Linked DNA regions of Mus musculus. The protein of the gene in region 2 purifies or fractionates together with the protein of the main gene of each other region. This does not show direct contact. Links are inferred from orthologs where the notes say so. Each region holds a gene or a part of one and is shown on either strand. Other genes may lie near its edges.

Region 1 (3,567 bases), on a different chromosome or scaffold from region 2:
TTTCCAGTGTGCCTGTGGTGTGGTACCCAGGCTACTGGATGCTGTGTTCAAAGGGCCTGGCTGGAACTCAGCTGTTGAACCCAGATGCCAGAACGGACCTGAAGCCACTTACTCTAACATCCGGGAAGTGGAGACTGAAGGATCCCTGGAGCTCAATGTCCAATGTAACCTCCTTGCTGAGTTCTGAATCATCAAGAGACCCTGTCTCAAAAACAATGTGTGGCTGGGAAGGTGGCTTAGTAGATGAAGTGTTTGCCACACAGCATAAAGACCAGAGTTCAGATCGCTAATACACTTATAGAAGCTGAGTAGGCTTGGTGCCCAGCGTAAATAACCCTGAGACTTGGGTGGTAGAGCAAGGGGGTCAGGAGTTCAAGATCATCCTCAGTTAGATAATGAACTCAAAACCAGCCTGGGATGCATAAGACTTTATCTACATAGGAAGGAAGGAAAGAATGAAGAGAGGGATGGGGCAAGAAAGGAACTAATGAACCCAACCAAGAAACAAGCAGGTCAGTGAGCGCCTTTGAGTCCTAGCAGTGAAGGCAGAGATCAGCAGGTGACTTGCAAAAGGTATGGAGAGACTTCACACCAGGTAAAGTGCTTGCTGCATTCAAAGCACGGGGAACAGGGTTTGGATCCCCAAAACCCACATAAAGCCAGCTAGTGTGGCAACCCTCTCATAATCCCAGCTCTCCAGAAGCAGAGACAGGAATCCCCAGGGCAAAGATGGCTAACCACCCAAGCCCAATGGTGAGTTCTGAGTTCAGGGGGAGTCTGGCTCAACATACAAGGTTGAAAGTGATAGAAAAAGAGAACCAGTATCAACGTCCACATGAACGTGCACACTTGTATGCAGATGTGCATACACACACACACAGACACCACATGTACACATATAAAACACCAAAAACGAAACATAAATGTCTTGCAAAATTAGCGTGCCATCTTGCGGTTATAAGACAGCCACTCCTGATAACACTTGCCCTGCTACATCTTAGACTACACTTTTTGTTGTTGTTGTTGTTGTTGTTTTTGATTTCTTGAGACAGGGTTTCTCTGTGTAGCCTTGGCTGTCCTGGAACTCAATCTGTAAACCAGGCTGGCCTCGAACTCAGAAATTCACCTGCCTCTGCCTCCCACGTACTGGGATTAAAGGTGTGCGCCACCACGCCCAGCTAGACTAAACTTCTGTTCTGGCACCTATCAAGTCTTGCTGACGGATGGCTGTCAGATGGCCATCATGACACCCCCTCTACTAATTTGCATTCTGAATTTAGATGAGTATTGGGTAGGTTCTCAGGTCCCCCCAGTTAAAGCGTTCTCCAGAGAAGGCAAGGGAGCTGTGTTGGGGACAGTTCTAGGGAGCTGTGTTGGGGACAGCTCTGAAGAGCGGGCAGTTTCTGGCTAGTGTTCCCTCTGTTTCTGCTGCTTTCTCCTCTTCTTTCTCCTTGGCCAATGCAAGATGCACTGAAGCCACCAGACATCACACAAAGCCTGCTGCCACGGGAGGCTGGTAGGAGATGCCAGAGAAAGCAAAGGCCCATTTTTTTTTAACATTTCCAGACATGCCCAGCCTTTTGACAGTGTGATCTACAAAGTTCATGCTGGAGAACCATGCAATCAGTCACGCCCAAAGTAAAACATAAACAAATCACAAAACACATCCTACAGAGTTTTAAGGATGTTTATGATATTGCTTTGGTCTCTATTCATAGCTATCCTGGTGCACATGTAGCCTGCAGGCTTCAGGCTGGGGATACCTGGATGGCTTTCTGACTAGATGACAAGGTCTCTCTGTAATCTGTCCCTTCTTCTGAAGGGACTGGCATGTAGCAGGTAGATAGGTTAAAAAAAAAAAAAGACCTGCCAATCTCTGTCTGTCTGTCTGACTGCCCATAGATTGTCTATACACACATACATACATATATACACACATACATACATACATCTAGAGGTTGGGGCATCTGGAATAGTAACATCATGCCTTCAAACACTGAGGGCACCCAACATCCATACTTTAAAGGATTTGTGTCAAGGTCATGGCTATTGGTTTTAATTGGAAGTCACAAAACACAGGCAGGAAACAAAAAAACAAAAACTAAAAACAAAAAACAGATGTAAAACAGCAAGAATATGAGTCCCAGTAGGAACTCTTTGCCAAAGGGCATGAGGGAAGCTACTGGGAGTCAGAGAGAGGCGGGTCTCCAGACCATGGAGCTGTTGGTCCATTGTGCACATTCCTTAGGCTCCAGCAACTGCGCTTTTCAAAGGCTGTTTCATTTCAAGGAAATAATAGATGAAGGAAAGGAACGTCAAAGAATATTCAGGCCTGCAGTCCCAGCACTCAGGAGATTCCAAATTTGAGGCCAACCTGGGCTGTGCTTAGTGAATCACAGGCTAATGAGTAGCACAGTGAATGCCTCAAGGAAAATAAATGAACATACAGGGTAATTAATTAACTAAAAGTATCTCAGTAACATGTGTGCATTTATTACTTATCCATAATTCTGTATAGAGTGGTATCTTAGGCCAGCCAGCCCAAACTAATCTTGCCATAGTAAAAGATCCTGCTTCAAAAAGCAAGGTGGATGGCTGCTAAGGAGTGGCTTCCAAAGTTGGCTTCTGGACGTCATACACATGAGCACAAATGTGCACATATACTATGCACACAGCCACAAATCCATGCACACACACAGAGAGAAAATAAATTTTAAATAATACTAATAATCTCCACTGCTAACAATCCCCAGCTGCTGCAGATGCCCTGAGAATGAGCTTGGGAAAAGAACCATCGCTCTGGAGGACAGAAATTGCTTGTCAGGGCCAGGTACCAAGATGGGAATCAAATCTGAGAAGGGCAAGCATGGAGCCCACTGCTTCTTGAGTTCCTCTGTCCTCTCCGTGCTCCACACAGCAGTGCTCCCCTGGAGGACTGTTACCCGGGATAACTACTCACCTTCCGAAAAGATGATGTAATCGTTGCACTCTTCCATGTTACAGGCACACATGAAGAAAGTCTCGCCCGCCCTTTTCTTTTCCTTCATGACACACTTGGGAGAAGCGGCATCTTCCAGAGTGAAGCCGTGGTAGGTGAGCTTGGGGTCGTGGCAAACCGTCTCCAGAGTAATGTTCTTGTCGTTCTTCCTCCTGGGGCACAGAGGTTTGTTGAAGACAAGAGAGAGGGACAGAAAGAGGGGACGATGAATGACCAGTCTCTGGATAGAGCAGTTGAGTCTGTGCATTCCTTAGGAAGTGGTTTCCACTTGAGTGTCCCAAACTCTCCTGCACCGGCTTCGTTTATCTCTCTCCACCTTCTGCTCACCTCAGAGCCTGATTATGATTACAGACAAGATAGCTATCCTTGTAGACATGGTGGTAGATCTCTTTCTTTTTATCTTTGGTATACATGTATGTGTGCAGAGATGTGTACCTGTGCCCACATGCATGTGGAGGCCAGAGATCAACATCCAGTGCTATTCTGCAGGGGATGCCCCCCTTGGTTATTGAGATAGGGTCTCTCACTGGCCTGGAACTTGCCAATTTAGCTAGGCTGGCTGGCCAGCA
Region 2 (3,567 bases):
GGTGGATTTCTGAGTTCGAGGCCAGCCTGGTCTACAGAGTGAGTTCCAGGACAGCCAGGGCTACACAGAAAAACCCTGTCTCGAAAAACCAAAAAACCAAAAAAAAAAAAAAAAGAAGACGAACCAAGTGTTAGGCCCATGACTTTACTGGGGTATCCCATAAGGAAATCAAGGCCAGGGAGGGTGAACAGATGGGTAAATAAAGTCAGTACTAACAAGGGTTTACCAGTGCTCATAGAGTTAGTAAAAGATTGATCTGAACTTACTACCCACGAAAAATAAAAATATTTTAATACATTCATTTATTTATTTAGGGCACAGCTATACCATCATGTTCACAGGGGCTACACAGAGAAACCCTGTCTCGAAAAACAAACAAACAAACAAACAAGGTCTATTAACATAATGACTCTGACAAGGTAATCATAAATATTAAAAGTGCTAGACATAGTGGCGCACGCCTTTGATCCCAGGACTAGGGAGACAGAGAATGGTGGACCTCTGAGTTCAAAGTCAGCCTGGTCTACGTGGTGAGTTCTAGAATGGCCAGATCAAGAAGAGCCTGTTGGGGGAGGGTGGTGGAAAGAGACAACCTCCCCACCCCCAATTTTTTTCAAAGCAGCAACAAAGACACATATTAAATGGGTTCTTTTGTATTATTCTAAACAAGTAGTAGCCAGTTCTCATTTAATTTATCCTATTGAATCTACCCCTAAAAAAATTAATGAAGCAAGAATATTTCCCAAAATCATCCCTGACCTCTATTAGTTTTATTCTATTCTAACATTTAGCACAATATTTATTGCACACATTAATGAATGAAGAAAGCAGAGCAGGTAGTATTTATTTAGAGATTCTAAATTGAGTTACTCTGTGGATACAACTTTGTTCTCAGGATTCAAAGAAGCCACGGTCTGTTGTTCTACCACTACCCAAGTATCTTTCCCAAAACTGGTGACAAAGACACACTGCTGCTTTCCTGATGATGACGCTCCCTTTCCTCCCTTGTTTCCTCAGAAGACAATGCCAGTAAGTAATGAGGTTGGGAGAAAATGGGCAACTAGAGAGAAATCAAAGTAAAAGATGCAAATGTGGTACAAAAACCATGCAGTACAGACATGATCAGAAACCAAAGCACTGATAGGTCTGAATCTAGGAGCACTTCAAGTTGGGAAAATTATAGAGAGTCAACCTCTGCTTGTTCCCTCATCTGGAGAAATATTTACCAGGAAGAAACTTAATACATGCAAGAACAACACTTTACACACAGAAAGTGCTACTGAGATTTCTGTCAGTCACTGTTATCAGCTGTATGAAATAGGATGGCAACACAGAAGTAGCCTGCTCAGTCTCAGCTTCTGGTCAAGCTACAGCCTCTGTAAACAGCCTTCTTGCCTGAGCACTTCTCATGCATACTTCTTCTAACATTTCAGTACTGGTTCCTGTTTGAGCACAGTGAAAGTAAGATATGCACTACGTCAGAATAAAATATCCCATTTTCTTTCATATACTCTGATCAGTAAAAGTAAATTATAGCTAGGCATGGTAGCTCATGTCTACAATCCAAACACTGAAGAAGCAGTGGCAGGAAGAACTGTCAGGCCACACCAGTAATTCAAAGCCAACCTGGACTATCCCCTTGAGAACTCATCATAAATATAAATCAATATTGTAAATTTAAGAGATTGCATATTCTTTCACATTATAAAAAGCACATATATATCCTCTTGTTTAGAACAATATTTTCACATGTACTGCTTCAAAACTTACTTTAAAACTAAATGCAAGTTAGCAGAGAGCCGGGGATCTGTAAATTGTGTTGTTCTGTTGTTATGGTCAACGAAATAAACTCTTCCTGTTGCGGTATTGCGGATCTCCCATCCAGGAGGCAAAGGACCGAGCTCTTCACAATTGATGTTGCTAAGATCCCTGCAAAACAAATATACAACAGAAATACCTCATTACTGGGCTTGCTGAGCCAAGCAGCGTATGTGACACAGAGCAATTCCATGAAGTCTGAGAGAATGTATTGTTTCAGAAACTTGAGATGCTCAGCTGGAATCTTTAATTCCCAACGGTTTCACAAACTTGCACATTCAACACCCAATTCCTAAATGGATCAAAACTTATCACACAGTCTGGCAATCATACTACTTGCCAACATAAACTACACTTCAATATTTGTTTGACAGAAAGTATTGTTTTACAAGCGTCAACCATATAAAAAATTTCTATTCAATATTTTCTTTCTTTATTATATCATAAAGTTGGGTGTAAACAAATGTGCATGCAATGAGTGATTGTACTGTTCTTCAACAAGCAAAACTGGAAACATTACTAAAATCCTGATCCTGGAAATAATCATAACATTTCTTTTTTAACAAAATATGTTGTTTTAAAGTTTTGAAGTCTATAAATTTCATGAAGAAAAACCTGGTAAGGATACTTAAGAAGAATGTTTTAAGGTTTATTGTAGCAACAAAGAAAAGATCAAGTACTTTTAGCAGACAAGGACCACTGTATCACACACCATAAGGATATATAGGACCACACAGAACGCAGCTGAATGCTCTGAGGTGGCTGGTGGGGTTGGGGTGCCTAGAAGCATAGAAGATCTTGGCCCTCCCTAACCTTGTTCTATGTGTACTGCTCCCTTCCGGCTGTTTATGAACCAGCAACAGCAGTGTAGATTTTCATCCTGTCCTGCTAGAGCAAAACTTCTACAGAAGGAGACCATCCCAGAGTGTCCAAGTTACTGGAGGCTGCAGGCGAAGATGAACAGTGTCCACTGAGGCATTACCAGCTCTTAGAGATTTCTTCAAATAATGATTCTGATTTCTGCTTAAAATGATCCTGGCCACTCCTTTGCTGCAGAACAACTAAAGCTTGAGAACCACTACAGAAGAGGCAAAGCAAAGTTCTGAGAACCTTCAGTTCACAATAACAACGAAGAACTGACTTGGTTCTGTTCAACAGAGAACGGACTCCCCGATGGGGTGCGCTCAAGTGGGACTTGAGTGGCAGCTGGGAAGAGGGAGATCAGCACCAAGATTGGGGAAAAAGTCCTGGAACTTCTCAAGCCGAGAGCTCAAAAAGGTGAAGCAATTCTAGAAAAACTTTCCAAATTCCCATCATAGGACCAGAGAATGCCAACTAATAAGGATCAAGTAACACATGAGGCATGGTGGCATATAACATAATCCCAGCACTCAGAGGCTGAGGACATAGGTAGAGTGCAAGCTCAAGCCCAGCCTGGGCTACAGACCAAGATTGTGTCATCTAAAAAACAAAACACACACACACATATGCATGTACACACAGACACACACACACACACACACACACATGCATGTACACACACATACACACACACACACATGCATGTACACACACACACCTTTAAACCCAGCAGAAGCAGGTGAATTTCTGTGTGTTCTATATCAGCCAGAGCTACATAATGAACCTACCTCAAAATCAAACAACACAACACAACACAACACACCAAACTCAAGTAAGAACCTCACACAACCTAAGGTCAATGAAGACTTGAGAAGTGACCACATTGTG

What was found.
Region 1: the proteins of Smurf2 (region 2) and Tgfbr2 purify together in Homo sapiens (affinity purification with western blotting; 3 studies listed by BioGRID). This does not show direct contact. The link is inferred for Mus musculus from reciprocal best matches to the Homo sapiens genes SMURF2 and TGFBR2.

Annotation. Positions count from the first base shown.
Region 1 is NC_000075.6:116,126,857-116,130,423, forward strand, and holds part of Tgfbr2 (TGF-beta receptor type-2 isoform 1 precursor), read right to left. Parts: intron 3,151-3,567; coding exon 2,960-3,150; intron 1-2,959. UniProt on the Homo sapiens protein: Transmembrane serine/threonine kinase forming with the TGF-beta type I serine/threonine kinase receptor, TGFBR1, the non-promiscuous receptor for the TGF-beta cytokines TGFB1, TGFB2 and TGFB3.
Region 2 is NC_000077.6:106,844,213-106,847,779, forward strand, and holds part of Smurf2 (E3 ubiquitin-protein ligase SMURF2), read right to left. Parts: intron 1,930-3,567; coding exon 1,771-1,929; intron 1-1,770. UniProt on the Homo sapiens protein: E3 ubiquitin-protein ligase which accepts ubiquitin from an E2 ubiquitin-conjugating enzyme in the form of a thioester and then directly transfers the ubiquitin to targeted substrates.